Linked DNA regions of Oryzias latipes. The protein of the gene in region 1 purifies or fractionates together with the protein of each later gene. This does not show direct contact. Links are inferred from orthologs where the notes say so. Each region holds a gene or a part of one and is shown in the gene's direction. Other genes may lie near its edges.

Region 1 (15,488 bases):
TCCGGCTGTCAATGTATTTAAGCATCCGTGGGATTTAAATAGAACTAAATATGGCGTGTTCTTGCTCACCTGAAATTCGACAGCTCTCTTGTTAGCCAAGTCCGCCTTGTTGCCCGCCAGAGCGATGACTATATTGGGGCTAGCTTGTCTCTGTAGCTCCTTCACCCAGTTCTTTGCTCGTGCGAAGGACTCCTACGAAAAGGCATGTTAGCTAAACTTTCACTTGGGCCAATTCTTGAGGGGAAAATAAACATGAACCTGAAGCTAACATTACACTCTCTTTGAAGTACCGTAACTCTACGATCATTTTTCTCCTCATCAGAAACCTTTTTTTTATGTTAACTACGTCAATCAAGACTTACTACTGTAAAGAGTGCTTTTCTCCTCGTCCCAATCAGTTGGTTTACGTTATTTATTTCAAAACGTCACTACTGTAAAGTTCCAGAATCCGTTCATTTATGTTAATTGCGTAAACAGTTGAATAGTTACGGGAAGTCAAAGAAGGCCAACACTGGAGCTAAAGCTCCATAGTTCCAGCGCTTTCTGCGCGACATGAACGTGCCTCGTTTGTGATGTCGTAGACCACAATGGCTGCTTGTGCTCCTCTGTAATACATGGGTGCCAAACTGTGGTATCGCTCCTGACCAGCTGTGTCCCAGATTTCAAATTTCACCGTCGTGTCATCTAAACAGACTGTCTGGGTGAGGAAGGCCGCTGGCGATGGAAATGAGGCGAGTGGGTTAGTCAAAAACCACAGGCTTAGCACAAACTGTCATCCTATTGTAAACAGGACTCAAATGCAGTTAAAAGTACCGGATCACAACAATCAAAGTCCTAAACTGAACATACAGCATGCAGCTCACCTCCTATCGTGCTTTCCTGGAATTCATGGAACTGTCCTTTGACAAAACGAAGCACCAAACTGGACTTCCCCACAGCAGACTCCCCCAGCAGCACCAGCTTGAACTGGCAGATCTTGTTGCCTGCGTTGGGTCCATTGGGTCTTGTAGCTCCTCCTCGATTGGCCATGACCTGATCAGATCCTCTGGACTCCTGAGCGCCAAACTTCACCCTCTTGACTTCAGCTGAAAGAAAGAAAAAAAAGTAGAGCAAAAAACAAAGCAAAAAAACAAAACAAAAACATAATATTTCCCAAACATATTTACGACTAAACAAAACCAGTTGATATTAGTGCGGCCATCACTGAATACCAAAGTGAGACCGGAGCGCCATCTTTTGAGGAACAACTCATTGATTTGTTGGCTTTCTAGTTTATGTTTAAACTGACAGAATCTTCCCTGATATGACAGACCTTAATATGAGAGCGTCTGAATAACTGTGTTTTAAGTTTACACTCCATAAAAAGGCTTACATTCGAGTCAAAAACAGGACAAAACCACTGATTTGTTCCAGAGATGTTGCTGACAAGTTTCTTTCTTAAGGTAGTGAAAGCAAGTAAGCAAGAAAAAAAAAAGGTTAAAAAGCCAGGATTTCTGGATTCAAATCATTAAATTATAATAAAAACGAAACATTGGACCAAAAAATATTTTTAGAGAATGCTTTCCTTACTTGATCACTGGTTATTCAGTGGGTCTGTGGGTTAGTGTCACTAAAGCAGAAGCTGCTGAACAACCACATACCATGCATTGCTCTCAAAGTTATTTAGGGCTAAATAGTTTTTTTTCCTCTAGGAGATAATGACTTTGTTTATGTGACATTACATGGAAGAATGTCGTCCACAGCATAGTTTGGAGAATAATATACACTAAGCTGCATAAAAACTCAATTATGTGTGTCATTTCTAAAAGTCTGGTGATGATACCCACACCGAGAAGAATTAAGGTGGAGTACAAAAAAACTACACTAGTTGTGTTTCATTCGCGTCATATTCCTCCACACACAGGACCACAAGCAGAAGGACAATTATTTTCACTTTAATTCTGGTCAAAACTGCACAATTTGCAACAAAATGTAAACATTTCTGTCTGTGAAAAACAAACAAAAAACAACAGTTGTTGCTGCTGGTTTAAGGATAAGGATAAATGTACGCCTGAGGGGGCACTCAAGCAAGAACTAAGAGGAGAAGCCAAAAACAACAACAACAACAACCATTACGGTAACTTAAAAACAGCTTCATACCACCCAAAAACATCTCTCTGGGAAAATACACAACTGATTAATAAAGTATATCAATAAAATTATTCAAAATAAATCGTAAAAACTCAATATATTGAACAAACAAGGTTTAAACAACCATGAAAAAAGGTTGTAAAAATGTGTTACTATAGTGTCACAATAGAGAAGCAACAGCTGAATCTAGAAAGGCCGATAAGGAGATTTTCAATCAAGCATTTACCAACAGTCATTTCCTCAGAAACGGGCAGCCCTGCAATTACAGGCAATTCTGATAGAAATGTTAAAGTAAAACGCTGCCTCTCCATCTTCACAGAACTGTTCTTTCAAGATGTTTTATGTTCGATACATAAAAACAACAAGATTTTGGACATAGCAGGCTTGTTTGTCAAAACTCCAGTTTGTTCCATGAATTCAGGCGGCATGATTCACTCGAAAGCCCAGCAGTGGATAAAGCAGAAATGATGCAGGGATGTGGACTGCTTTGTCATAAGCACCGTCAAGTCACAGAGTTGCCTCAAATCTGTTTTGTTTACCAAAACAAACAAACATGCCCAAAAAGCTGAACTTTGGATAGATACAGCATTGTATCGCAAGTCATTTAACCTTCTTGACCCATTTAGAATAAGATTTATTCCTATTTTCTCCTATGTCATCCCACAATATAGGTGAATTTAGAATATTGGAATGGTAAAAATATAATTATTTTTGGCTGAAAAAGGTTCAAACTGTTACAAATGAGTATTTCCTGACTTATATTTTAGATATTTATGAAAAAGGTTTACTTACGTTAGCACAGCAAAAATTCAAACCATCTAAGAATATTATTTCCACCATATGTTAAAAACGTTGCTGACATGTATTGATATATGTGTAAGAATGTTAAAACAATTAAGGATTAAATTTGATTGGAACTGATTCTAACATTTAAAAACCACTAAAGCTGCTTCACTGAGTAAAAGAATGTGATACAAAACCTTCTCAGAGCAGAAAATGTTAAATAACAATAAGAATATAAAAGCAAAACTTCCAACTACAAAGTAATAGTTAGTGTTAAAAACAGACAGGTAGAGCATCGGTGAAATGAACTAAAAAATGTGTGGCCAGTCTACAGTGCGATATATTAAAAAGGGCAGCCTCCCTCATAGCCAACAGTTTTAACATGAGAATCGATAGGAAAATAACCTTTCAGATATATTCAAACAAAACACGGTTTGGACTAAGCTAGTTGGTTGACGGCTCTACTTACAGCAACTTAAAAGTTTCATTAATATCCGCCGATGAATCTTTCAGAGCTTCATAAGATCAGGCTTTTTGCCAAGAATTCTAAAACAACTAACCGACTGGCAAGTGATCTGCCTCCTGAGTCTAATCTGTCAGTTCAAGGATATGTGCCAACATGGTAAATAGGCTCTTCCTTAATGAGATTAGACGAAAACAAAGCTTACAATCAAATAAATTCATAGTCAATAACCAGATATGAATGCAGAAATGCAATTAAGAAGGCTTCCACAAGGGACAAAATAGCAACAATAAAAAAATATATATACAGCTTTTTAACCTGAAATTATCAAGCCTGGTTATTTTTCATTACGTTACAAGTTTAAACAATAACCTGTTTTAAATGGAAATCTAATAAACTAGACTAAATAAACCCACATTAGCTGTGTTTACACTCACTATCATCACATAGAAATCCATAATACAGTCAAAATGTGCCAGGCACCCAGAACACCATTGAAAGTCTTAAATCTAGACATCTAAAAAAGGACTCTACGGAATTGGTTTTGTAGACCAACTTTCAGCAAGAATATTCTCCGTTTACCCACATTTGAGGATTAGTGTCAACAAACACGCCATGCATACAGTGCGCTAAATTTGGGTTTAGACGTCATCTGTCAACTATAAACATACTGTAAATGCTTGCAGCTAGCTTGGACGCATTTTAACTTAAATTCTTGTGTAATGTAGCTTGATGTACCACTAACCACATATGTTTTCAAGATCAAAATCTATTATTTGACCACTTTTAAAGAGCACACAACTTCAAGAACAACATCCAAACAATGCATACTTCCAATTATCTTATCTAAATGTTTACTGACAACAGTTTTAAGATGTAGAGGAGTTGCTTAATTTACCTAGGTTAGCTTAGCACAGCTAGCAACTCACCCACCCACCCATTTAGCTAGCAGCTTAAAACGATTAGCCGTACTTGCTACTAACCCCGTTGGTTTATATTATTCTCATCATTCCCCTAATCAACTAAATTTGAAAGCTGTACTCAACGGGAGTGTTTCAGCTGTGTTCCCGCAGGCGTCAAACATAGCATCATTAGCCAGAACTAGCTAGCGTCAGCGCTGGCTAAGGAGTCCCAAACAGATGAAGAAACGTTAGCCGTCCAAACAACGGCGCGCTACCTGAGAGCCAGACGACGCACGGAACTTTTATTGGCACCGCTGAAGTTTTTTTCACACGCCGACCGTCAGGCACCAGAACGGTAAGTTGGTTGGGAGGGGGGGGGGCAACAAAAACAATTTAAAGAATCGCGTCACGTCTCCTCCTTTCTTTATTCTCGCAACTTCCTCTTAGAACCAAAACACTAACAAGCTCTTCCGGCCTCCGTGCCACGTCAGACATCACGTCGGCCCAGCGGCGTTTCCATGGTGATTACCGGAGAACTCAGAAGACGAATTAACCACGAACGCAATGTGATGATGGAAAGATGCAACTTTATTATTCAAATGCTATACCTAGGCCGAATCCGAATTCTTCCATGTAGCCATACATTTAGCCCTTTCAAACAGAGAATTGTAGAAAAATTGTGTTATTCGGACGCGACTCCCACTCGAATACGTCATCAATAGTCGCCGGTCAGCTAGCCTTTTGATGTTAAAATGGCCTGCCATAAGCGCGGAGCTGCCAGCGCTCGGAACGACATAACATTGGCTTTACAGCTTTTAAAAGGTCATGCTAAAACAAAAAACTCCTTACCTACATTTAAATGTAAACTTCTGTGCATCTGCCACCCACGAGAAGAAACGTATGGAGTTATTTCAGTCTCAATAATCAGAAATGCACACAACCTGTTTTACAAATGCACACGTGACGCTCCGATTCACAAATGTCATTTTATGCAAACGTGAAAAATAAATTCGGAAACGCGCTTCTCCTCCGCTGCACACAACACGACGCGGAACACCCTCACCGCGGTGGGCTCGGCATCCCTCCGCGGCGAGGGTTAGCCCTAAAGCAATTATTGCGGACAGCCCAACCCATCTATGCCCATGCAATTGATGGATTGGGGGAAGCCGTAAGGGTAGGGGGAGAATTCGGATTCGGCCTTATAACCTTTTTAATGGTGTATTTTGAAAAGTGGAAAATTTACATTTATCAAAAGCAAGTGTCTATTCGCACTTAATTTTCGGACCTAGACTAGAGGAAAAGTTCCTGAGCTGAGCTTTCTATGCAGCTCACCGCACTTTCACGGGATGGATCAAATGTGGAAGACACTTTTCACACAACTAGGAGCGTGGCAGTTAATGGGACTTAATGTTAAATATAAAAACGTGCGGCCAACAACAAAATGCAAAATTAGACGGTCTTACAAATGTGGGAGCAATGCAATAATGTGCATTTTGGTTACACATCATCCATTTATTAGCTTCTTTTTCTGTGCTGAAAACATTAGCCTTAGAAAAATCAACTGCATTATCATGAGGAAGTGCCTATTCGCACATAACATTCAAAATAACTACGGCCAGACCTGAACTTCTATTATTATTATTAATATTATTATTGGTGTTAATGTATGTCAGCCAGTGTAAAGACTGTTTTTACTACTACTACTACTACTACTACTACTGGAGGTTTGGAGGTGGAGAGGTGGAGGTTTGCTCTGGAAAGAAGAGGCATGAAGGTCAGTCGTAGTAAGACAGAATACATGTGTCTGAACGAGAGGGATCAAGGTAGAAGCGTTAGGTTACAGGGGGCTGAGGTGAAGAAGGTGCAGGAGTTTAAGTACTTGGGGTCAACAGTTCAGTGTGATGGGGATTGTGGAAAAGAGGTGAAGAGGCGAGTGCAGGCAGGTTGGAGCGGGTGGAGGAAAGTGTCAGGAGTGTTGTGTGACAGAAGAGTGCCAGCAAGACTCAAAGGAAAGGTGTACAAGACAGTGGTGAGACCAGCTCTGCTCTATGGGTTAGAGACGGTAGCAGTGAGACAGAGACAAGAGGCTGAGATGGAGGTAGCAGAGATGAAGATGCTGAGGTTCTCCTTAGGAGTGACCAGGTTAGACAGGATAAGGAACGAGTACATCAGAGGGACGGCTCATGTTGCCTGTGTTAGCGACAAAGTCAGAGAAGCCAGACTGAGATGGTTTGGACATGTTCAGAGGAGGGATAGTGGATACATTGGTAGAAGGATGTTGGAGATGGAGCTACCTGGCCGGAGGGCAAGAGGACGGCCAAAGAGGAGATATATGGATGTCTTAACAGAGGACATGAAGTTGGCTAATGTTAGGATAGAAGATGTTCATGATAGAGTGAGGTGGAAAAGGATGATTCGCTGTGGCGACCCCTGATGGGAAAAGCCGAAAGAGAAAGAAGACTACTACTACTACTACTACTACTACTACTACTACTACTACTACTACTACTATTACAGCAATGAAATACTGATGAAAATAAACAATAATTTTAAGTTATTAAAACGCATAATAATAATAGTGTAAAGGCAATTTATTCGAAGTCTTTATTCCCATGAGATCTAGAATTGTTCAATATTTTTTTATTTTTTTTCCATATTTTTTTCTTAATTATGTCTGGATGCAGGAAAAAGCCAAGGGATGCGCTAAAAAGTAAAATATTTCCCAACGAAATATTAAATTGCAGTAAAAAGACAAAATTTCAGTAAAAAGACAAAAATAATTTCCTATAGCAAACAAATTAATAGTTTTAATTTTTATTTGGCCTTATAACTTCCAGGTTTTTTTAACTAAAAGGGTTTTCAGACCTACTGGAGATGCAAATGAACATTTCCATGCATTTCTAAAAGCCTTTCTTGCATCCAGGCTTTCTGATTAAAGGATTTTAAACATGAGCATTAATGAAGAAGAATGTGGTAGGAACAAGTTGACTGTGCAATCTAACAGTTTTAATATTCAATGCTGCAGTCAGACAATACTTATTGGATCTTTTGTTTTGTTCTTTGTTATTTTCTTTCTTGTGAACAATTTAACAGTTAAATGTGAAACTTTTTATGAATACGATAAAAGTAAAGAAATAGCACTGGGAGCCCCAAATAGTCCTACTTTTATGTTTTTTATTTGTGTTGAAGGGGGAAAGGTTGTCCTACCACGACTGCGCCAGCAGGTGTCACTGTAGCTCCACGTCCCGCCTTTAAGCTCAAACGAATAAGAATCTGCAGCATTTGCTCGAATGTAGCTTCCGGAGGGCTTTTACGATTGCTTTCATCGACAGTCAACTTTCTTTTTTTTTTTACTACTTAATGTTTACGCTGTTGGTACAGTAATGTGCCGGGGTGCAGGAGTATCTCCAGGTGGATTCCTGTAGGATAAAGAGACTCGAGGATCAGGAAAAACCAGCAGCGAACGATGGCGGAGGTGGAGACGCCAGAGGAGCTCCTGATCAAGCAGCACCGGAAGGAGAAGAAGGACCTGCAGGGTAGCTGACATGACCTGCTTTCACGTGTTTGCAAAGCTTTAGCTTCACTTCTCCTCTCAAGTTCAGGTTTATTGTGATTTAAGCGTATTTTCCTGTATAGCAGCACGTGCAGATATTTTGTATACTTTACTCCATCACAGAAAGTTAGAAAGGGCTCCTATTCTATTTTTTTATTTAACATTTCAATGATTTTACTATTAAGTATTAAAAAAATAGTCAAAAATTCAAATAATCTGATTATTTTTATTGAACATTTGCAGAGTATAACAATAAGAAAAATCATCATTTATAAAAATACAATATAAGAATACAACACAGTTCTAAATACAGAATAAAATTGTTTTAACCTTATGAAATTCATATAATCTGATTGTAAAGTCACAGTGGTTCAGGTTGACATCACAATAATGGACTAAACACATTAGGAGAATTAATTTATTTATAAATACTCCTATTTATTTTTAAATTATCTTGTCACACATTTGAGATCAAAGACAAAAAAGTTAAGAAGTATTTAAGTCATGAAAATTTTCAAACACATTTCATAAAAAGGTGAGAATGAAATGCGAAATACAAAATATCAAGTTAAAAAAGAAAAACAAACGATCAGATCAAAAAGAGTTTATTTTTCTGGTAGGAGCTTCTGGTGCTGTTGGAACTCAGAGCAGAGACAATCGTTAGTAAAATCGATTCAACACCCACACACTCGATTCAGTACGAAAATGCATACTCAGACGGATTCAAAGTTTAAAAATAACCAAATAAAGATGCTGCTGACTTTGCCCTTTAATAGTCAAATAGTGGTTGGTATAAAACTCCATGTAGCTCACTTTGATCTGAAGGTGCAAAGCAACTAATAAAATAAACTAACCATGAATGAGGAACTTTCTCAGAGCTTGGCAAAGTAAAGGCAGATAGAATAGACAACAGACTTTTATTATGAAATTTGATGCACTTTGTGAGCTCTTAATGCACCTATCATGATTCGGTCCCAAAACAATTCTGTTTGGCAGCCAACAGAAGTCATAGTTCTAAACAAAACAATCCTCTTGAGCCTCTATTTCTAACTGCCTGAGAGCTGTGATCTGCTATTTGTGTTATGTTCTTAACCTGTCTTCTTCTCTGCTTGATTTTATTCATCTATTCATTTTGTTTTTATTTTTCTTTAGCAAAGATCCAAAGTATGAAAAATGCCGTCCCCAAAAACGACAAGAAAAGACGGAAACAGCTGACAGAAGACATCGCAAAGCTGGAGGCGGACCTGAGTCAGAGACACGAGGATGAACTCCAGCAACTTAAATCTGCACCGGACAAAGATGTAGGAGCTGGTTTACTTTAATTTGGTACATTTGAACACATTTTTATGCTTTTTTTTTTAAACTGTATTTTTGCTAATTAAGTGTATAGTTTGATCTTTTTTTTGTATGTTTTTCCTTTTTATAAAGGTAAAGATTTTGTCATGGGATTTTTTTTTCCTCCTTTGAAGCAGAGAAAATGCTTTGCATTTATTGAACATGTCATAATTTTGGCTTTTGGTTCATAAACTGTACGGCGGCAGCCTTCAGCTTCATGACCGCTGCTGCTCTTCCTTGATCTTGAAGGTGGAGGAGGCTGCAAATGGGGTGGAGACTTTAAAAGTAGAAGCTGGAGAACAAGAGGAGGTCAAACAGCCTCGAGTTACAAAAGCACAGAAAAGAAGGGTGAGTGATGACCTGAAGTTTGTATAGGATTGTTACCGCATATGAATAATGGGGGTAAATTGTCCCTGTTTGCAGCCCTTTTTAGATATTTTTTGAATTCTCCAAGTTTGAGAAAGCCATCTGACTGATCTATATGTCTGTTTCTTGTCATTTGAATGGATCGACTTTATTGAAACACCCTCCAGGACAAGAAAGCAGCTCAGGAGAAGGAGAGGGATAGCAGGATCGCAGAGGCCGAAGTGCAGAATCTCCAGGGTGTGAGGCACCAGGAGGGCGTGAAGCTGGCTCAGAAACTGGCTGAGAAAACCCTTCAAATCAAGGAGATTTCCTCCGACGGCCACTGCATGTACCGCGCTGTGGAGGATCAGCTGACGCAGAGGTCCAAGGTGCATGTTTTCCGTCGGCGTGATGCTTTTATCGGAAACGCCCCGTTTGTCAGCAAAGGGATCATTTTGATTTTTTGGGTCTTTCCTAGCCAGGGTTGAACGTTACTTTTAAAGAGCTGAGGTCCCGCACTGCTGAGCACATGAGGAACAATCCGGAGAACTTCCTGCCCTTCCTCAGCAACCCCACCACCGGGGACACGATCACGACAGGCAAGTCGCCGTCTGCTGTGCTTCACAGAACAAAGTAAACCTGTCATCCCGCTGTAAGTATGCAGATCTGAACTGTTTCTGTCCCTCCAGATGAATTTGAGAAGTACTGCAGTGAGGTGGAGCACACAGCAGCTTGGGGAGGGCAGCTGGAGGTGATGGTGCTCCTTATCTGGAGGTGTCGACGTTTAACTGCCCTTTTCACTCATCTGATCTTTTGTTTTTTTTTCTTTGAAGCTCCGGGCTTTGACCCACGTTCTCCGCTTGCCCATCGAAGTGATTCAGGCCGACTCCCCCACTCTAAAAATCGGGGAGGAATACGACGCCGAACCCATCACTTTAGTGTAAGCCGATCTGCTTTATAATAATCTCACATCCATCACACAAACCTATCAAAATGCCTATAAACCTTAATTGAAATCACGTGTCTTCCTGATTGTTTGCAGGTACATGCATCATGCCTACGGCCTGGGAGAGCATTACAACAGCGTGGAGCCTCTGAAGAATCCGGCCAATGCAGAGGAGAGCTGAGAGCCAGCGGAGGTTTTCTGTGTCACAGCTCAAAGGACTGATGAGGATCTTGAAAACATGGAGCTCCTTTTCTGGGAAGATTAATAAACACAGCAGGATTTTGATGTTAAATATTAGGCAGAAGGAAATTATTTTGGCAGTAACAGCATGGAGGCTAGTGTTCTGCACAAACATAATGTGGTTCTTCCAGGTCTCAAACTCACGGCCCCTCTAACTAGTAGAGTGGGTCGCAGCTCTTTTATAGGCTAAATCCTATTATGGGGTGTAAACGCCACCTTTTAAGGTGTCAATAGAGCTCACAAAGTCACAATAAAGACCTGAGAAATGTCGGTTGCTGCTTTAAGAACAAATTTAAGATAAAAGAAAACGAGGCCCCTGTATTTTCCAAGCTCCACAAAAAGTTGGGAATTTGTCAGTGGTTTGCTGTTAAAACACATTAAATGGATCCAAAAACACTTGTTTGAGTTAATCTTTTAAATAGTTTTATTTCTTGGTCAAAGTCCATGTGCCTATTTCAAAATTGAGCTTTTATAGAACGCAGAACTCTGTCTGTCCTGTTTCTCTCTCTCATTTATCTATACAGTATATATAGATACATATTTCTGTATCACTCTATATATATATGTATGCAATATAATACCAAAATTATTGACTCACCTGCCTTGACCTACATAAGAACTGGAGTGTCATCCCATTGAGTTCAATATGATGTCGGTCCACCTTTTGCAGCTATTTCAGCTTCAACGCTTCTGGGACGGCTGTCCACAAGGTTGATGAGTGTGTTTATAGGAATTTTGGACCATTCTTCCAAAAGTGCATTGGTGTGGCCACACACTGATGTTGGTGGAGAAGGCCTGACTCGATCTCTGCTCTAATTTACCCCAAAGGTGTTCTATTGAGTTCAGGTCAGGACTCTGTGCAGGCCTGTCAAGTTCATCCACACCAGACTCTGTCAGCCATTTCTTTATGAACCTTGCTTTGTGCACTGGTGCAGTAATGTTGGAAGAGGAAGAGGCCGCTCCAAACTGTTCCCACAATGTTGGGAGTGTGGAACTGTCTATTATTGTTTCATCTTTAGTCAATTTCAAATTAATTAGGAGCTTAAAACATTTTCCTTATAAATTGTTTCTTTTATTTTCTAAATCCCACAAAACCCAATTTAATTTGAAAGTGACACAGTACTTAGGATAATAAGATTGTTAAAAATATATTTTTCAAATGACATCTTTACCTGATTCATCACAATCTGAAAAGATAAATTCAGTCTTAACTTCAATTTTCTTTAAACGTGTCCTCCGACCTCCGTCATCAGAAAAATGCTACAGGAACCTGTAAAAAAAAAAAGCACCGTTTTCATTGGAGTGTGTCTCTACATGGCCTGTGTGACTTAAAGAAAGCGCCATGAATTTGAATAAAAGCTCAGAAAGCTTGTTTTTTTCTTCTGTTTTTTCATAGCATATTTTAAAACCAGAGGTAGCAGGTTTGCTTCCAGAACAACAACCCTGGCCATCCTCCACTGAGCAGCAACTCCATCAACCCTCCCCGCCGAGCTCCTCCTTTAACAACAGTTGAAGCCGTTTCTGTATATTTCCCTCTCAGCTTGACTGTTTGTTGGAAAATTGCCACGACAGTCCTTGAACTGTTTTACTCATCACACAGATTTGTGATTAAATGGGTTGCTTTGCTGCCTCACGCTTTGCCTGCAAATGGTTGAACTGATTTGGGGGGGGGGGGAATAATGACCTGAAGGAGTTTCCAACTGTTCGGTGCCATCTGGAGTCCTTCAAAAACTTTAGCTGCTGAACGACTGGAGGGCCACCTGATGCGACAGGTACTGTAAGACACGACTTTAGCATAATCACTATCATCTCCCCTCTGAAATCTACATTTATAAAGGTTTTCATGCATCTATAATACAAGACTATTTTTATTATTACCCCAAAATGAAAAAAACAAAAAAACAAAATCAGACCTGATTAATTCCATGATGTGATCCAGTGATGCTTTCTTGCAGTAATTGTGACAAAAAGGTGTGAGTGATGGCAAGATGAAGACTGATGGATTCTCCAACTGTTAACAAGAGATAAAATTAATTTTTTGTTTTATTTACAACAATTTTAAGCATAAAATGAAAGTCACCAAAACCTCCTATAAGGACGAAAAAAAAAAAGGAAAAACACTTAAAGGAAGTGATTTAACACTTGTGCTATCTTAAAAGACCCCACCTTTACATTGACGTGTTCTTCCTACCATGACAAAGGTGGATAAAGGTGGAAAGATTTCATGTAATCCATGGACACCAGTGAAGATCACAAATCATTGAAGAAAAAAGGTTCAGAGCACTGTCTAGTGGATCTAGATGACCCAACTCCCAATGTTAAAGTGCCTAGGATAGCACAAGAGTTAAATTCACTAAAGCTCAATTTTTGAATGAAACTCAAAACAAAATCTTTGTGGTTCTTTCTGAGAATTTATCATAAGGCTAATTTAGCACAAGTGTGCAATAATGTTTTAAAAATTCAACTCTGCTTCTGTTTCCACTTTGCCGTTTTTTCTGGAATGTTGCTCAAAAGACTGAAGTGCCAAACTTGAAAGGGAAATGAAAATTAAAGCACAAAACACAAAGACATTTCTTTGCATCTCAATAGAATATCTTTTGTCGTCCCCCTCGTCTCAACTTGCTGCGTGGTTTAATACAACACAAAGGTTAAGGCAAAAGCACAGCTTTTATTTTGACTTCATTAAATGCATTTTCTTTTCAATTTAAATAGAAACATAATGAACAATCCCCAAGACACAGTATTTTATGGAGCCATGGACATTAAAAAATCATAAATTATGCACTCAATTTGTAATTTTGTGCAAACAAGTTAGAATTTTGTGTCCACAAGCTAGTATTTTGTAAGCCAAAATAATCCAAAAATTATTAAAAATTTGAACATATTTCTTTACATAAGCAAAAAAATCAGTCAGTGGAGTAAGACAAATGGTCTTTTCTAGAATTCTTAATTTAAGAAAAAAATTGCAGTCATTAAGAATAAGATTATTTTGCTACTTATAATCTGTGTTGATAATATTCTTTTTCCTGCAAGACAAAAAATATTTTTTTCTTTCTTGAAACAAGGATCTTTTGACTTTTTACAACGGAACAACGGAATATCTTTAGATATTAACATTGGTTGAATCCTCATGGACACTGATCAGTCGGCGCCAGTTCATTAAAGCATGGTGGTGGCAGTATTATGTTATGGAGGCCACTAAATTGAAATGACACAAAATAGTAACAGCCTACTGAAACCTGCAAGGAAAACGGAGAGTCATCTGCAAAAAAACACACGTTTTTACTGTAATAGTGATACACCACAAACACTAATGACAAACATTTCGATAACAATACTTGTATAAACTTAGAAAGACAAAATTGTGTTAAAAAAAAGCTTTAAGATAAAAGGAGAACTAATTTGTACCTGACAAATCCGTCTGATTTAGCAGGTAAATGTGTTTTTGTCATTTCTGAAGGCTTATTTTGATTTATCCTCACGCCTGATCATCAATTTGATAACACAGTTTTGCTGTTTGGAATCTTTATAACCATCACAATGTTTGATTTTCCTATGATTTATCTGTTTCTCAGCAGATTTGACGAGCTTTCCGTTCTTGTAATTCCAATTATCTTTACTTCCAATTGGCTGTATCAGTCAAAATATATAAAATAACTCATTTAGTTGTCATTCATTTCTTCAACAACAGTCAGTAATTATTCATTCACGTTAACAGGAGATTTTTGGAACTGAAGTTGGACACGTTATTAAACATTTGTGCAGCAAAGCTCCAGTTTCTGAGCTTTGGTTTACTTTTCACATGTTACTTCACTCTGTGGCCTGTAGGTGGCAGCATCGGAACATGGATGTTTGGCCTATTTTAGGATTCGTGACAGTAAAAGACTTGAAAAGTGGGCCCTTTTTTTAAAGAAAAAAAACGATAATTTATTTTTAAATAGGTATTATTTAAGGACATTATGGCATGTTTTTTTCCCATTAAAACTCCAGGTAATCCCTAAAACCTTACGATATCAGGCAGACCAAGTGTTGGGGCTCTCAGAGAAACCCCTCTAGTGCAGACGGAGTAAATGACAGAAGATCTTGTCTCCTCAGTTGCCCCATCTCTATTTCCATCAGCAGCTAGCAGCATCTGTTTCAACCTTCTAGACAAGAGATAGATGAAGAGAGGGAAGGATGGAGAGAACTTCATTGCTTGCTTGAAATTAATTTCTCATCCGAGCCTCCAGAGCTTACCGGCTGACTCTGTAGCTGCTGCAGCCACTGCTGCGGCATGCGTCTACTGAGTCGGAGCTTCATGAATAATGCATCAGGTTTAATTGCAAACCCAGAAACTAATGACTTTGGACTGGTTAACAGCAGGGGAGCCATACATCTCGAGCAAACTGAATGAAAAATCAGCTCAGAGGAAAGAAAAAAGCAGCCTACCCCCTAATTGATGAATAATTGAAGCGGCAAGCTACAGGGCATAATTGTGACATTTTGTTTCAATCAATTTCCAAGTGGTGTGGGCGAAAGTGCACTTAAAGGGAAAAGGCAACAACAATGAACGAGAGGGAGAGATGGAGTGGATGGTGATGGAAATGGACGTCTTCAGTCACTTTGATGACATTTGGTGGAGTGAAGCTTTTTTTCTTTTTGCCTCTTTTCTACTCAAACTTCTTTTATAAAACAACAAAAAGCTTTTTAAATCCCATCCTAAGGTGCCATTGTTCATTTGCACTCATTTAACAAAAACATAAAGAAAATGACACAAGAACATAAGGTGAGGCTGGTTAAGTAGGGCTGTTT
Region 2 (15,469 bases), on another chromosome or scaffold:
ACATGAAATCTTTCCACCTTTATCCACCTTTGTCATGGTAGGGGGGACACGTCAATGGAAGGGGGGGGGTCATCTAAGATAGCACAAGGGTTAATCACGTGCCTCCAAATTCTGATTGAAGAAACACACCTGGTCCAGGTAACCAGCAGCAGGCAGTGCAGGGAGAGCTGAGACACTGGCAGGGTGGTAGATCTGGATTCAGAGTCTAACAGATGCACCACATTTGTTGGAAACAGTGCCCCCTAGTGAGCACAGCCAGAACAGTCAGAAGCCTTGAACCAGGGGGGTCCAAACTTTTTGCAGGGGGCCAGAATAGAGGAGGTGAAAATGTGTGAGGGCCAACCAATTCTTTGAACCCTCATATTAATATTATGCAGAAAATTACTGTAAATTTTTTCTTTGAAGACCAGTAATAAAATAAAGAAAAAGGAAACCTTTCTTCAACAATAAATCTGGGTTTACATGAAAAAATACATATTAGTCATTACTAAACGCTTGCTGTAAACTTCTACATTTAAATCACGTGAACAGGAATATACTGCCCTAAACTACTTGTATTTTTTATTCAGCTTTTTCAAGGGACATCTAGGTGTTGGAAAATATTTTCTACTTAAAAATATTTAAATTTTCTGTTTTTGAAAGTGTTCTTTTTTTAACTTTTGTTGCCATCTCTAAATGATATGTAAGAAAAGAAGTTGACACATAAAAAGTGTAAAATACAATAAGAAAAAGAACGTCCACATTGTCTCTGAGTGGAGATCATAGCTGATTATCAGGCGCTTTTAACCCTTGTGCTATCCTAGGCACTTAAACATTGGGAGTGGGGTCATCTAGACCCACTAGACAGTGCTCTGAACCTTTTTTCTTGAATGATTTGTGATCTTCACTGGTGTCCATGGATTACATGAAATCCTCTCCACCTTTATCCACCTTTGTCATGGTAGGGAAAACACATCAATGTAAGGGGGGGGGTCATTTTGACCCCATAAGATAGCACAATGGTTAACGTGGGCGCTTTGTTCCTTTTAAGTTTTTAGTTCCTCTGACAACTTTTCTTTTAGCATTTATGATCCATTTGGTCCAATTAAATGTTAAAAAGGATCTAAATGTTTCCATATGTGTCCCAGATGTGTGTAGGGAGGGATTTTGGAATGAACCTGAAATGTTATATATTTTTCTTCTCACAAAAATGGCCTGTTGGAGGGAACTGTCTGTCATTTGACAAAAATCCCCATCTGAGTGATTCCTGTTAGGTTAACTCACAATCACCTCAAAGAGGAAAAAAAACAAAACCATTATACATTTAAACCAAAGACGTTGCTGCACGAGTGCACGCAGCTCAGAAGCTTCTAAACACAAAGAGTGCTTAGATGGGGGGGTAAATGTGTATTTATGTTAGTATAATAAATGAGGGAGTCTTTTTTTTTGTCTTTGGACAGTATTAGTGGTAGTGCGTCTTATTGTTGCTGCCCTGGCCGGCTGTTTGTTTTCACTGCCTGGGTGTGTGAGTGTTTGGTGTGGGAGGAGGAAAAGCGTTGATTCTGGAGCCCTTAGTGCACGGGAGGCTTCTGTTCTGTTTACTATCTCTGCAGCAGTCAGTTGAAGCCCGGAGGGAAAATACCTCCCACTGTAGACGATAAGCATTCTGACAGGTAGAGTTAGCAAAAACAGCCAACAATTGGTTTTTCTAGCAAAAATGTCACACAAAACCCCAAACTGTGAGTCAACACCCGGACATGGAGACTCACGCTAGACCAAACACGTCATCCATGGATCTGCATGGTGAAAGTGCAGCCTGAAGTGGGAGGGGCACATTGACCTGAGGTTACTCCGCCCACCTTCGCAATGCTCTAAAAGTAAAACATGGGAAGCACTGACAATCAAAAAGAACATCCAGGAGGCGGACCTTAACATAAAAAACAAAAAGGGTCAATAAAGCCAATAAAGTTTTTTACTCCATTTCTGAGTACTGTGCAGGAGTTTCTCCGACAGCATCTTTGTCACACAAAAACCCTGAAACTATGGAAGCATTTCTGTAACACAATTAAAAATAAAAGTCAATACCAAAAATGCTTTTTCATTTTCAAAATGAAGCTGCGTTTGTTGACTCAAAATTAAAATGAAAATCAATCCGCCAAACTGGTTTTTCTGCCTCCATCCTGCAAATGCTGACTGGCATTGAATTATCCTACACTTTTTGAGGGGGAGATGTGAAAACGAAAATGCAATCCCCTCTTTGCATTTTCGCTTTAATTATGTGAGAGTAAGCAGTGTTGAAGTGGAAAATGAAAAAGCATTTAGGAGGATTGATTTTTCATTTTTATTTTGACTCATCTGATGCAGTTACATTGTGAAAATGAAAAAGCATTTCTGTTGATCCATTTTAATTGTCAAATAGATATTTATAATTGAACTTTGCTACACATTTACTAGAGAACTTTTTGACAATGAAATGTCAAAAACCATTTTCTTTATCATTTTAATAAGTTACAAAAAGAGCGGTATTGAAGAAGAAAAAGAAAACTGATTTGGTGGATTGATTTTTCATTTTATTTTTGAGTCATTGAATGCAGCTGCATTTCAAAAGCATTTCTGTTGCTGACGTTTATTTTTAATTATGCTACAGAAATGCTTCCATATGGATCCAGTTGGGAGGGACATCTGCTGAGATGCCCTCCGGATAAACTCAGAGCTCAATGCAAAAAGAAACGCTAGCGTTCAGGTGGACGCCAGAGATTTGGGTAGAACATGTTTGAGTGATGATAGTTGTCTCTTTTTAAACCCAAAATTACCTTTTTTAGGAAAAGAGTCATTTGAAAACAACAGATTAAAAGAAAAAGATTGTTTTAGTTTTACCTGAAGCAGCCTAATAAAAAAAAAAACAGAAGGAAAAAGTTAAAAGAAGAATCTTGATTTCAGGTGAGCGGGTATGTCTCAGACTGCACAGATAAATAGTGTCACCATTATTAAACGATGGTTTCGTAGATGGGTTTACTACGGGAATAACTGTTTGTTTAAAGAAAATAAGTGCGTTTAAGCAAACAAAACCTTTTCACTGTTTATCAGAATTACTTTAGCTTGGTTTCCTGTTTCCCACCTTTTGTGTAGCGTCTTGAGAAATTCAGCTTTAAGGCCGTGTCATAAAGCTAATATGTACATTTTGCACATTTTACACGGATGAAAATTGGTCATGCGTGAATAGATGTGGAAACAGTGAGAGGGGTTGTGGGTTGTGTCCGAATTCCTTCTCTACTCACTATTTAGCGCGTTCCCCATTTTGTAGTTCTGTCCGAATCTACAATTCCAAAATCCAGTGCTCTAGAAATGTCCCAGAAGTCTCTACGAAAAACCAGCGTGCATTGATGCTCACTAGATTGACGAATATAACCCTCAATGCATTGAACGGATCAATTTTTATAATTTTTAATAAACCATCAACGTTTATATCTTTAGAAGACTCTGGGCTCATAAATAATCGTCGCAAAACGCTCATATTTATTAGATTTTAACTTCTTGAAATGGATGACATCCTATTTGCCATTTTAAAAGTAGTGCGGGTATAAAACAGGTATAAAAAATCATGCTTTTTTGGTTATTTTTGTGTGAAATGCCCAAATAAAAAATGGGAAAATAAAACAATGTTTTCACTAAGGTGACAGTTGGTTTAGTCGACAGACTTGATGCTTTTGTGAGGACATTTATGCTAAATGCAAAAACATCTGAAATATGGAGAAAAAAGGTCAAAGCTGGTGCCCAATTTAGAAAGAAAAGAAAAGAAAAAGAGGAGAAAAGAGACAAAGAAAAGGGTAATATAGCATAGCTAGATGCACGTTTTCTAAATTTGAATGCTACCTGCCCTACAACAACAACAACGTTGCAGAGGAAAAATCTCTTGTTTGGTCTATCATGACCAAAACTGAAGTAGGCCCAAATATTTTAAATAACGTCATTTTTAAGATTTTCTTCTTAAATGTTTGCTCTGCCTTAACTTGTAACATTAGTTATGATTCGTGTGTCTGTCTGCTGTGTCACAAAGTTTTTGTTGTGTTTTACTGTTGTATATTAGTTCATAATGTTAAATGAGCTGTGATGGTAGCATGCTGCTGCTGCTGCTGCTGCTGCTGCTGCTGCTGCTGCTGCTGCTGCTGCTGCTGCTGATGCTGCTGATGCTGCTGCTGATGCTGCTGCAGCTGCTGCTGCTGCTGCTGATGCTGCTGATGCTGCAGCTGCTGCAGCTGTTAGCTTTTCAAAACTCCAGTTGATCAAGTCATACCTGAGATCACCAAAGTCTCAGGAGCAACTCACTAACCTGCTGTTGTTAGTATCAATCATTCAGTAGGGAAGCAGATTTTATATGATTTATTATTGACAAACTTGCATCAAGGAAGGCCACAAAGGTTAGGTTTTAGTTAGTGTTTTCTGTTCTTAGTGCTGCAGTTACATTTATTCTAGTGTGTTATTAGTGTGATTTGTAGTTTATAATATTTATTTTAGATTATTTATTTGTGTTTGATTAAATATTTCCTAACGGTATTTTTGCCATGCTGATAGTCTTTTAATTTTTATGTTCCTATAACTGTTATAATGCAGTGCAGAATTCTGATAAACATCTTTTTTTTTATATCAATTTCTTAGTTTCAGTTACAATAAATGGACAAAGTGACTCTAATGGGGGGGGGGGGGGGGGGGGGGGCAGAGGAGGGTCTCGCCCGGGGAGTAATTCAGGGTAGAACCGCCACTGGTTAGGGGTTAGGGTGGGAAATCGGACAGAGCCGTGGTCTTTACGTGAAATTTTCACAGATTTATCATGAATAAACATGTTAAAAAACACGAAAAAAAAGTATAATCCACACAAAGAAGACGTAACCCAACGTGGAACATGAACCGTTAATGATTATTGCGCTAATTACATGCAGTTCATTAGTGATTCAGGCATCAATGATGTCATCTGAACGTGATCTGTGCGCCGTGTACGTGATCTAAAAGTTACACATCAGTGGTTCATGCATGAAAAGTCTGTTAGACAAACGTGGAACGCTCCTGGAAAGACACACATTTGTGTATCTCACAAAAATCACACGTAATTGCAGAAGATTTATGTAATAATTGCGTATAAACTACGTAAATTGCGTAATTCTCAACCGACCAAAAATTTTTAACAGAACAAAACTGAATTCACGTTAAAACCCGTCGTCTGAAACCCTCGAGGGACATCTGAACACATCGACAAACGCAAGAAACATTTATGAATGACGTAGATCAGTGGTCCCCAACCCCCGGGCTCCCGGATATCTGCCCGCTCCGGGGGTCATTTGGGGTCATTTGGTACCGGGCTGCAGAGAAAGAATATATAACTTGCATTACTTCTGTTTTATTTATTTCGGAATCTGAAAGATGTTTTATTTTGAAAAATTGCCCAATTCTTTGGTACATCAGTCTATGTCATTTTTGACGCATTCCAAGGCGCTCTTCTCGGTCACGTGTTAAGTTACCGCTAAAATAAAATCCAGGAACTAGCAAAATGAGTAAAAAACAAAATGTCTTTGGAAAGTTTCTTTGCCGAGGGGAAAATGCCCAGCCAGGAGAAAGAAGAAGAGCCTTCAACTTCCAAAATAAGAAAGCTAAATTTAATAGACAGTACCTTTTTTTGCACCACGAGAGTGTGGGAAGGGGAGATGATGATGAGACCTGTGCGATGTCAACTTTTAAGCGAGTCAAACTAAAAGCACAGAGTTCGTCTTGTCACGTATTTGATCCTCCCTCATCCTAGTATTGCTACAATAATCATCCGCCTATACTTGAAATACCGGTCCGTGAAAGTTTGTGTGATGTCATACCGGTCCGTGGCATGAATACGGTTGGGGACCACTGACGTAGATCACGCATGGATCACGGAGGACTGAGATTTCATACACTGAAAATGCACAAAATGTACGTGGTGGTTGTTTGACACGACCTTAAGACTACAGCTTTATAAATTAAGTGGGGGGGGGGGGGGGTTCCTCCTTTTTTCCAATTTATAAACGGATGGTTTCATAATTTGAGAAGTCCAAGTCTGTGAGGACGTCACATCCTCAAGTAAAAAATAATTTGTATTTTTGTTTTATTTTTTCTGTACCTGTCAGAGTTTTTGAGTGAATGGCGGGTCAAATTTAGGAAGAATTGTGAGACAAAAATGGTCTTTTCAGTCCAGGACAAAGTTATTGTTCCGGTGACACTATTGTTGTTTCTCCTGTGTGTGTAGTATAAAAAAACAACAACAGTTTGTGTTGACTTTATCGTGTTTGTGTGTTTTAAAAAGAGCAAAGCGGCCGCCCGGAAGTGCGTCATCGCTGAGGTCATGAAGAAGGAGGAAACAGATTTCCACAGCTAAGATGGCGGAGGAACAGCAGGAATCATCACAGGGAGAGATGGAGGGTGAGAGGAGCCCCTGTGGCACGAAAAACCCCGCGTGCCGACCTGTCAGTTCTGCCGAACATCCGGACCGGATGTGACCGGAGCTCCGAGCGGGATGATGTCCGCCCGATGCTCCGGTAGACTGAAGTGTAAACGGGTCGCAGCTGCTCGGCTAACGATAACCGAGCCACACAAAGGAAACGCTGTAGTGCAGCGGCCGACCGATAGCCCCCCTCCCCCAGTGCCAGAGCTCGATGAGGACCCGTCGGAGGCCAGAACCCATGCAGACTCTGCAGGACGGATGTCTTTTCGTTGATAATTAGTTTTGTTTTGACGCAGCATCATCATGAGCTAAACCCTTTAGCTGTCTGTCTGTCTGTGTCTGTCACAGAGACAGACAGACAGCGGTACCGGTTCTGATGGGTTCAGACGACATCCAACTTGTTTTTGAACCCTCATCAGCATCCTGTGCTGCTACCCTTTGACTCGCGTTTCGTGAGTTTTTTTTCCCCCAAAAACGCGCGCGCCGACTTTGTTTTTATTTCCCAACCAGTGCAGCGGACGATGCAGAGACGATCTTTGAATCTGCTTTGTACTTTGGAGTGGCTCTAGGTTCTAGAGAGTTCTGTGGTGCTGTTGTTGTGGCTGCTGCTGCTGCTCTCAGGTAAAGCTAAAAGCGCTCGTGTCTTCCAGGTGTGAACTGCCTCGCGCATGATGAGGCCATCATCGCTCAGCAGGACCGGATCCAGCAGGAGGTGAGGAAACCCCATCACTGGACCGGGCTCAGATGCTGAGCTCGGTACTGGTCTGATGTCTGTGATGATCACGTCTGGATCTTCACGTTTCAGAGAGTTGAAGTTTAAGAAAATCTTTAAATGGAATGAGGAAAACTCTAGATTTGCCATTTTAGTGATCTATATTGCGTTGACGATGGAACTTGCAATACATGAACAAATAGCAAAACAACCGAAAACATTATTTCTATTCCACTGCAACAGTTCATTTAAGTAAGGGCCAACATGCATTATACTTAAAATGACACTCATCTACATAGGAGGCAGAAATTGACATGAAAGGGCTCCATCCGATTGGTCAACAACGTGAATGCGTCCAATGATTGGTCAACAACGTGAATGCGTCCAAATGCTTGGTCCACAACGTGAATGTGTCCATCCGATTGGTCAACAACGTGAATGCGTCCATCCGATTGGTCAACAACGTGAATGCGTCCATCCGATTGGTCAACAACGTGAATGCATCCAATGATTGGTCAACAACGTGAATGCGTCCAAATGCTTGGTCAACAACGTGAATGCGTCCAAATGCTTGGTCAACAACGTGAATGTGTCCATCCGATTGGTCAACACTGAATTTGTCCAAATAATTGGTCAACAACGTGAATGCATCCAAATTCTTGGTCAACAACCTGAATGCACCAATGATTGGTCAACAACGTGAATGTGTCCAAATAGTTGGTCAACACCGTGAATGTGTCCATCCGATTGGTCAACAACGTGAATGCGTCCAAATGCTTGGTCAACATCGTGAATGAGTCCATCCGATTGGTCAAAAACGTGAATGCGTCCAATGATTGGTCAACAACGTGAATGCGTCCAAATGTTTGGTCAACAACGTGAATGTGTCCATCCGATTGGTCAACAACGTGAATGCGTCCAAATAATTGGTCAACAACCTGAATGCGTCCAATGATTGGTCAACAACGTGAATGTGTCCATCCGATTTGTCAACACTGTGAATATGTCCAAATAATTGGTCAACATCGTGAATGTGTCCATCCGATTGGTCAACACTGAATTTGTCCAAATGATTGGTCAACAACGTGAATGCATCCAAATGCTTGGTCAACAACGTGAATGTGTCCATCCGATTGGTAAACACTGTGAATTTGTCCAAATAATTGGTCAACAACGTGAATGCGTCCAATGATTGGTCAACAACGTGACTGCGTCCAATGACTGGTCAACAACGTGAATGTGTCCATCCGATTGGTAAACACTGTGAATTTGTCCAAATAATTGGTCAACAACGTGAATGTGTCCATCCGATTGGTCAACACTGAATTTGTCCAAATAATTGGTCAACAACGTGAATGCATCCAATGATTGGTCAACAACGTGAATGCGTCCAATGATTGGTCAACAACGTGAATGTGTTCATCCGATTGGTAAACACTGTGAATTTGTCCAAATAATTGGTCAACAACGTGAATGCGTCCAATGATTGGTCAACAACGTGAATGCGTCCAATGATTGTTCAACAACGTGAATGTGTCCATCCGATTGGTAAACACTGTGAATTTGTCCAAATAATTGGTCAACAACGTGAATGTGTCCATCCGATTGGTCAACACTGAATTTGTCCAAATAATTGGTCAACAACGTGAATGCGTCCAATGATTGGTCAACAACGTGAATGCGTCCAATGATTGGTCAACAACGTGAATGTGTCCATCCGATTGGTAAACATTGTGAATTTGTCCAAATAATTGGTCAACAACGTGAATGTGTCCATCCGATTGGTCAACACTGAATTTGTCCAAATAATTGGTTAACAACGTGAATGCATCCAAATGCTTGGTCAACAACCTGAATGCGTCCAATGATTGGTCAACAACGTGAATGTGTCCAAATAGTTGGTCAACACCGTGAATGTGTCCATCCGATTGGTCAACAACGTGAATACGTCCAAATGCTTGGTCAACATCGTGAATGAGTCCATCCGATTGGTCAACAACGTGAATGCGTCCAATGATTGGTCAACAACGTGAATGCGTCCAAATGCTTGGTCAACAACGTGAATGCGTCCATCCTATTGGTCAACACCGTGAATTTGTCCAAATAATTGGTCAACAACGTGAATGTTTCTATCCGATTGGTCAACAACGTGAATGCGTCCATCCGATTGGTCAACAACGTGAATGCGTCCAATGATTGGTCAACAACGTGAATGCGTCAAATGATTGGTCAACAACGTGAATGCGTCCAAATGCTTGGTCAACAACGTGAATGTGTCCATCCGATTGGTCAACAATGTGAATGCGTCCAAATGCTTGGTCAACAACGTGAATGTGTCCATCCGATTGGTCAACAACGTAAATGCGCCAATGATTGGTCAACAACGTGAATGCGTCCAAATGCTTGGTCAACAACGTGAATGTGTCCATCCGATTGGTCAACAACGTGGATGCGTCCAAATTTTTGGTCAACAACGTGAATGCGTCCAAATGATTGGTCAACAACGTGAATGCATCCGAATGATTGGTCAACAACGTGAATGCGTCCATCCTATTGGTCAACACCGTGAATTTGTCCAAATAATTGGTCAACAACGTGAATGTGTCTATCCGATTGGTCAACAACGTGAATGTGTCTATCCGATTGGTCAACAACGTGAATGTGTCTATCCGATTGGTCAACAACGTGAATGCGTCCATCGATTGTCAAACGCATGAAGGGATTTATTTGATTCTTTAAATACTTCAAGCTGCCATTGTGCACGTTTAAGGTAACCATTAATCGCAATTTCTGCAGACTTTCGCGATATGCGTATTGCACAGCTTGATATCGTGAAAATGATCCTTTTTTTTTCACTTGAAAAGTCATTCAACCACAATGCATTGTGGTGTATATTTGCAAATGTAGATGGTGTCCAAATTCCTTCATGAAGCACTACTCGATGCACTATATAGGGCGTTCCACTTTTTTTATTGGTGGGGGATTCCGAATGTACAGTTCCAAATTTCAGTGCCCTGGAATTTCTTTCTACGAGAAATTAGTAGGCATCGATGTTACAAGATTGGCCAACGTAAACTACAGTGCAACGCTTCTTTGTTTGTAGAGAAAATGTTTCAATTTTATTTTTATAAACTGTTCATGTTTTCATCACCGTGGATTAAAATCTTTTTCAAGGTCGTGTCACACAGCCGAGTACTTTTTGAGCATTTTCCTCGTATGAAATGTTGTTCTTTCTCGCCTTCGTCGTTTGTCGATATGCATAGGTGTCCGTCGAGGGTTTCAGCTGATGGATCATTACGTGAATTTGGTTTTGAGTTTAAAATTTTGAGAATTATACAGTTTGTGCCTGTTGTACACACAATTATTACATAAACTATAATTGTGCTTGATTTTCGCAAGATGCATACACAAATCTGTGTCTTTCAACGACTGTTTATCTTATGTCTAACATACTTTTTATGCATGAACCACCGTTGTATAACTTTTATATCACCAGTGACCAGTTTTCATCCGGGCTATATCAATGTACATAGTGGCTGTGGGACACAGGCTTTAATTGTTCATATTTATTTATGAGGTTCTTGCTTCTGGAAATCGGTGATGTCATAATAATAATAATAGTCAGCGTGGAGTCTGAATTGCTGTTTAAAACTTCTAGATAGTTTTTAAGTGATAGCGGAGAAATCTTCCCACAACAGAGAAAACACTTCCCAACTAGCTAGCGACATGAACATCAGTGAATTTAGAGGCGGCCCTTCTTGGTGCTTTCCTTTATGACAAGACACGAATATGGACATTAACGTCTGGACAACGTTGAGTTATTGTTCTGGCTGTCCACTATTTCAAGAGTTACTGTATCGTGATTGCACCAACTTGTTTTGGGAGTGAACCGAGCTGTCAGAATGTTGGTTTGTATTCTATTCGTAAAGTTTGACAAACTGACTTTTCTGACTTTTTCGTTGACCTTCCCTTTAGCGCAGCATCATCTAGTGCAGTGGTCCCCAACCTTTTTGTTACCGCGGACCGGTACAACGCAAGACACGTTTACCGCGGGGGGGGGGGTTTGAGGCACGTTTACCGCTGCCTATTAAAGGCAGATTTCCCTCTTTTAGGGGGTGCAGGTTCCTCTTCTGTCCCTTCATTGGACCGTTTCCCCTTGTCAAAGCAACTTTCTAAAGAAGTTTGTTTTTTTGCTCATTTTGTTTTTTTGTGTTTAATTTTAGCGGGGTGTATCACGTGATGTTTGGTGTCGCGACTTTGACGTGCGTTAAGTGTGACGGATGTAACAGAGAGAATCCGGTCACTTTTCAAAATAAAACGTTTTTTTCTCTCGAAAAAAAGCAATAAAATGGAAATTATTTTTTCTTTCTGTGCGTCCCGGTGCCAAGTGTCCCGCGGCCCGGTACCGGTCCATTGGTGCCACTACACCAATTTCTGTTCTATGCGACTGTTTTTAACAGTTTTAAAATAGGCCATTCTTTGATGGTGCGGAAAAATACAGTAGAACAAAAGCATTTGTGTGAATCCAAACCTGTAGTAAAAGTTGCAGAGAGTCTCTCAGTGCAAACACAAACTGTGATGTGTGTTTGTGTGAGTGTGCAGATCGCCAACACGAACCCCCTGGTGTCGGAGAGACAGGAGCTGTCGGTGCTGCAGAAAGAATATGCGGAGGACGACATGGTTTATCAGCTCAAGATCAAGGTCGGTGGGCTCACGCATCTCCGCCTCCGTCTTCGCTCTCCTTACATTCGGTTTACTAATGTTCCAACTGCCGCATAGATTTTAAAATTACGCCCTTTGATGTCGTCGCAGGATCTCCACAAAAAGTACTCTCATATTCGGAAGACACGGCCTGACGGAAACTGTTTCTACAGGGCCTTTGGTTTTGCACACCTCGAATCCCTGTTAGAAGACAGCAAAGAGCTTCAGAGGTTAGTGTTTTCTAAAGGACCGGTTCTGTCTCATTGGGTTCATGATGTGCTGCGTTCTCACCAAACGACAAGTTCCAAATTGGCTGCTGGACGTCTTTCCAGAAATGGGTTAATAAAGGTGACGGTCGCGCCATGTCCTGCCGATCTGACAGTTTGCATATTGCCCTGACAAAATTCACCTGTGCGGGTCAGAGAGGAGAGGCCTGCCCTCTAATTAGAGTGCCATCAGTTGTAGAAAAAAGGAGACCTAAAACGACAAAGACAGAGGATATGGGAGTCAGAGAGGAGGTAACTGAAAGAGGCTCCAACTCTCAACCCCGCTTCCACAACCTGAAAGACCGACATCGTTTCAGTGGAAGCCCGATTGGATGCAGCATCCACCAAACATCTGCTCCAAACCTGGATCCAATTTGCTGCACAACAAACCGGACCAAGAAACAAAAACTCTTCAAAGAAAACACTGAACTTATCTTCTAAAACAAGAAAGACTGTTGGACCGGACTCCCTGTAAAAGGGACTGGATACAGGAAACAACGGCCCCAGAAACCCGGGACGGATTTCTAAGGAGTACCTGGACCGACATTTTAGATAGATGGATGGATAGATAGATAGATAGAATTTATTCCAGACTCATGCTCCAATCAGTAAAAAGGAGTACACAGACCCACTACATTTAAAACAAATACACAGTGTCAAGAATACACAAGTTGAGGTACAGTGTATAGTTACAGTTAATAAAAACGTTAATAAAAAATACTTGATAAAAATAAATTGATTAAAAATGATAAGAATAAATACAAAGATAAAAAGATTACATATACATACCACACTATAAAAACCTTAATTACAATGACAAATAAAAAGACAGTCCCTCCAGTGTTTCCATAAATTTGACCGGAAACATATGGGACTAAATCTAATGTTGCTTATAGCCAAGATGAGAGTATTCTCTGAAGCGTTTAATCTGCAGATAAATTTGAACATAAGCGAGCGCATGCAAGCCCAGAGAGTTTTAATTCTGAGAGAAATGAAAAGCTCACTAGCACTCGTCCTCCTTGGCTTATTTAAAAGCACTCTTAGAGCATCATTGTACGCCACCTGCAGCTTTCTCGTACTGGCACTTTTATAGTTCGCCCAAAGATGAGCTGTATACAGAGGAGTGCAAAAAGCTTTAAATAATGTCACCTTGACTCCTTCCGTACACATACCAAACTTTCGAGAAAAAGTGTTTGCTTGGCTGTATACCACACGACACTGCCTGTAGATGTCTGCGTCATCTGACAAGTCTTCTGAAACGACATGCCCAAGATACTTGATCTTATTAGTACACACAAGCACAGCATTTGACAGGTAAAAATCATTTAATCCTCAAACAGGAGAACAAAAGGTACCCAGAGGAACAAGACTGTGTGGCCTTGCATTCTAGCTTCCTTTGAGCAATGCACATCCTAAAGAACAGCAACAATAAGAGTTTAATACGTCAGGAGAGAGACCTGACTTTTCCTCAGGAAAAGTCATCCACAAACTGTCAAAATGTGTGGGAGGAGCTACTGTCCAATTATTTTTAATCCTCAACGTTACAGAAGCATTGACTGTTTATCTCGTTCACAATGCATAGAAGACATGAATAGCCGCGTTTACATGGGCAAAAGTAATCGGAATGAACGCCTGATCGGAAAGAAAATGCGTCATGTAAACGCGCCATTCAGAAAACTCTGCCCCGATCAGACTCGTTCGGATCAGAATTTCTTTCCGATCGAGATAGGTGGGTTATACCGATCGTTTATCCTATCGTGGAGCATGTAAACGGTCATTCCGATCGTGTGTCACTACTGCTCTGGTTTAAGTCACGCATAGACGGTGTTTCGCTGAGAGAAAAGCATTGGAGCGCATAGGGGACCGCTCTCGCCCCGCTGGCTCTCCCGTCTCTTTCACCCCTCACGAGGGAGGTACGGGGAAGGAGCTCTTCGTGCCCCCCGACGCTCACTCGGTACACTGGCACCCGAGTGAGCAGAGGAGCTGGGTTAATAACTCCGTGTCTGAGGGGAGGAGGATGCTTGTTCGGTGTGCGTTTTTTTTGTTTTGTTTTGTTATGTGTGGGAGAATTCAGACTGCGAGGCGTTCCGCCGCTCTGGGTTAGCGGCTGAAGGACTCAGGAGAGCCGCCAGCTCACGCAGCCAGTTTGGGGAAGCAGAAATAAATGTCGCTCAGTCCTTTTCAACACTACTGCGCATGCCCAAATGATTCATTCCAACCGAAAGTGTGAGCCATGTTCTAGTTGTTCTAATCGGAAAAAGGTTTTCTGATCCCATGTGAACGGTTGAATTTTAACCCGACCATTGATCCGATCAAGATATTCTGCCCATGTAACCGCGGCTATTGATGTTTTAGCGATCAGGCTGCTTTATTTTGAAGAGCTTTACTTAAAGATCGGTAATTCTGTCTCCATGACTGGATTCATGGCATCATTCAGAGATTCTCCCGGTTCGGCGAGCTTCACTGTCTGCTGCAAGAGCGGCGTCTGAACGACGGGCGATTTCAGCGGTACTTCCGTCTCTGTCACCCAGTTTGACAACTCGCCGTCCCGCATTCGTCCGAGGAGAGAAGAATAAAAATAAAGGATCTTTTTATTATTGATTCCATGTAAATAAAATCAAACATGTGGCGACCCCTGATGGGAGAAGCCGAAAGTGGAAGAAGAAGAAGGAGAACCTGAACTCCACCCACTGATTACATCAACACTTGACTGGTCAAAACTGAGTTCCTGATTGGTTGACGCAAATTTTTCACCAAAGTTCAGATTTTTTAAATCTGAAAACACTGAGGCATAAAACCAAAAAAAACCCCAGATTTCCGGCCGCAGGTGCACCAGTCTGCCTCCACAAAGTTAAAATATTTGCTTTTGTGGCAAACCAGAAAAGGGTCTGCACCACATTATGTGGTAAGCTTTCCCAATGAGATAATCCTTGCACATTTATTAGGGCGGGCTTTCTGTTAACCAATCAGAAGATGGAATAACTTTATTAGGGCCCCAAAGGGGAGTTTGGCAGGGGCAGTTCTTTGAGTTGAGTTCCTGACATTCTCCTAAGTCTCTGTGATTGGTTAACTGGGTTTTTATGCCCCGCCCTAATATTTGTTGTAGAATCCTCTCCTCAAAAGGTTGGAACATTTGTTTCAAAACCTTTTTTTGGGTGTAGAAACATGTTTTTGCCAGCAGGTGGCAGACCTCTGCAATCTTGCTTGTTATACCATGGTTCGGGGGAATTCTCGATTATGATTGGCTGCTGGGTGTGCATGAAAAAGTGACAACCCCATGACTAAAATAAAAGTTCCGGTCACATAGCCTAAATGTTTGTATCACTGCGCCGGTTTCTTTAAAACAAACTT

Evidence for each region.
Region 2: the proteins of otud6b (region 1) and otub1 fractionate together in Homo sapiens (co-fractionation; 4 studies listed by BioGRID and IntAct, with this or other methods). This does not show direct contact. The link is inferred for Oryzias latipes from reciprocal best matches to the Homo sapiens genes OTUD6B and OTUB1.

Annotation. Positions count from the first base shown.
Region 1 is NC_019869.2:22,468,701-22,484,188, forward strand, and holds otud6b (OTU domain-containing protein 6B), read left to right. Parts: upstream 1-7,559; 5' UTR 7,560-7,744; coding exon 7,745-7,814; intron 7,815-8,983; coding exon 8,984-9,132; intron 9,133-9,415; coding exon 9,416-9,514; intron 9,515-9,699; coding exon 9,700-9,900; intron 9,901-9,989; coding exon 9,990-10,110; intron 10,111-10,200; coding exon 10,201-10,262; intron 10,263-10,344; coding exon 10,345-10,451; intron 10,452-10,553; coding exon 10,554-10,638; 3' UTR 10,639-11,093; downstream 11,094-15,488. Other genes in the region: ras-related protein Rab-5A, read right to left, coding at 70-192, 563-714, 864-1,085, 5,128-5,155.
Region 2 is NC_019876.2:28,614,849-28,630,317, reverse strand, and holds the start of otub1 (ubiquitin thioesterase OTUB1), read left to right. Parts: upstream 1-6,313; 5' UTR 6,314-6,374; coding exon 6,375-6,417; intron 6,418-7,089; coding exon 7,090-7,151; intron 7,152-11,753; coding exon 11,754-11,852; intron 11,853-11,963; coding exon 11,964-12,082; intron 12,083-15,469. UniProt on the Homo sapiens protein: Hydrolase that can specifically remove 'Lys-48'-linked conjugated ubiquitin from proteins and plays an important regulatory role at the level of protein turnover by preventing degradation.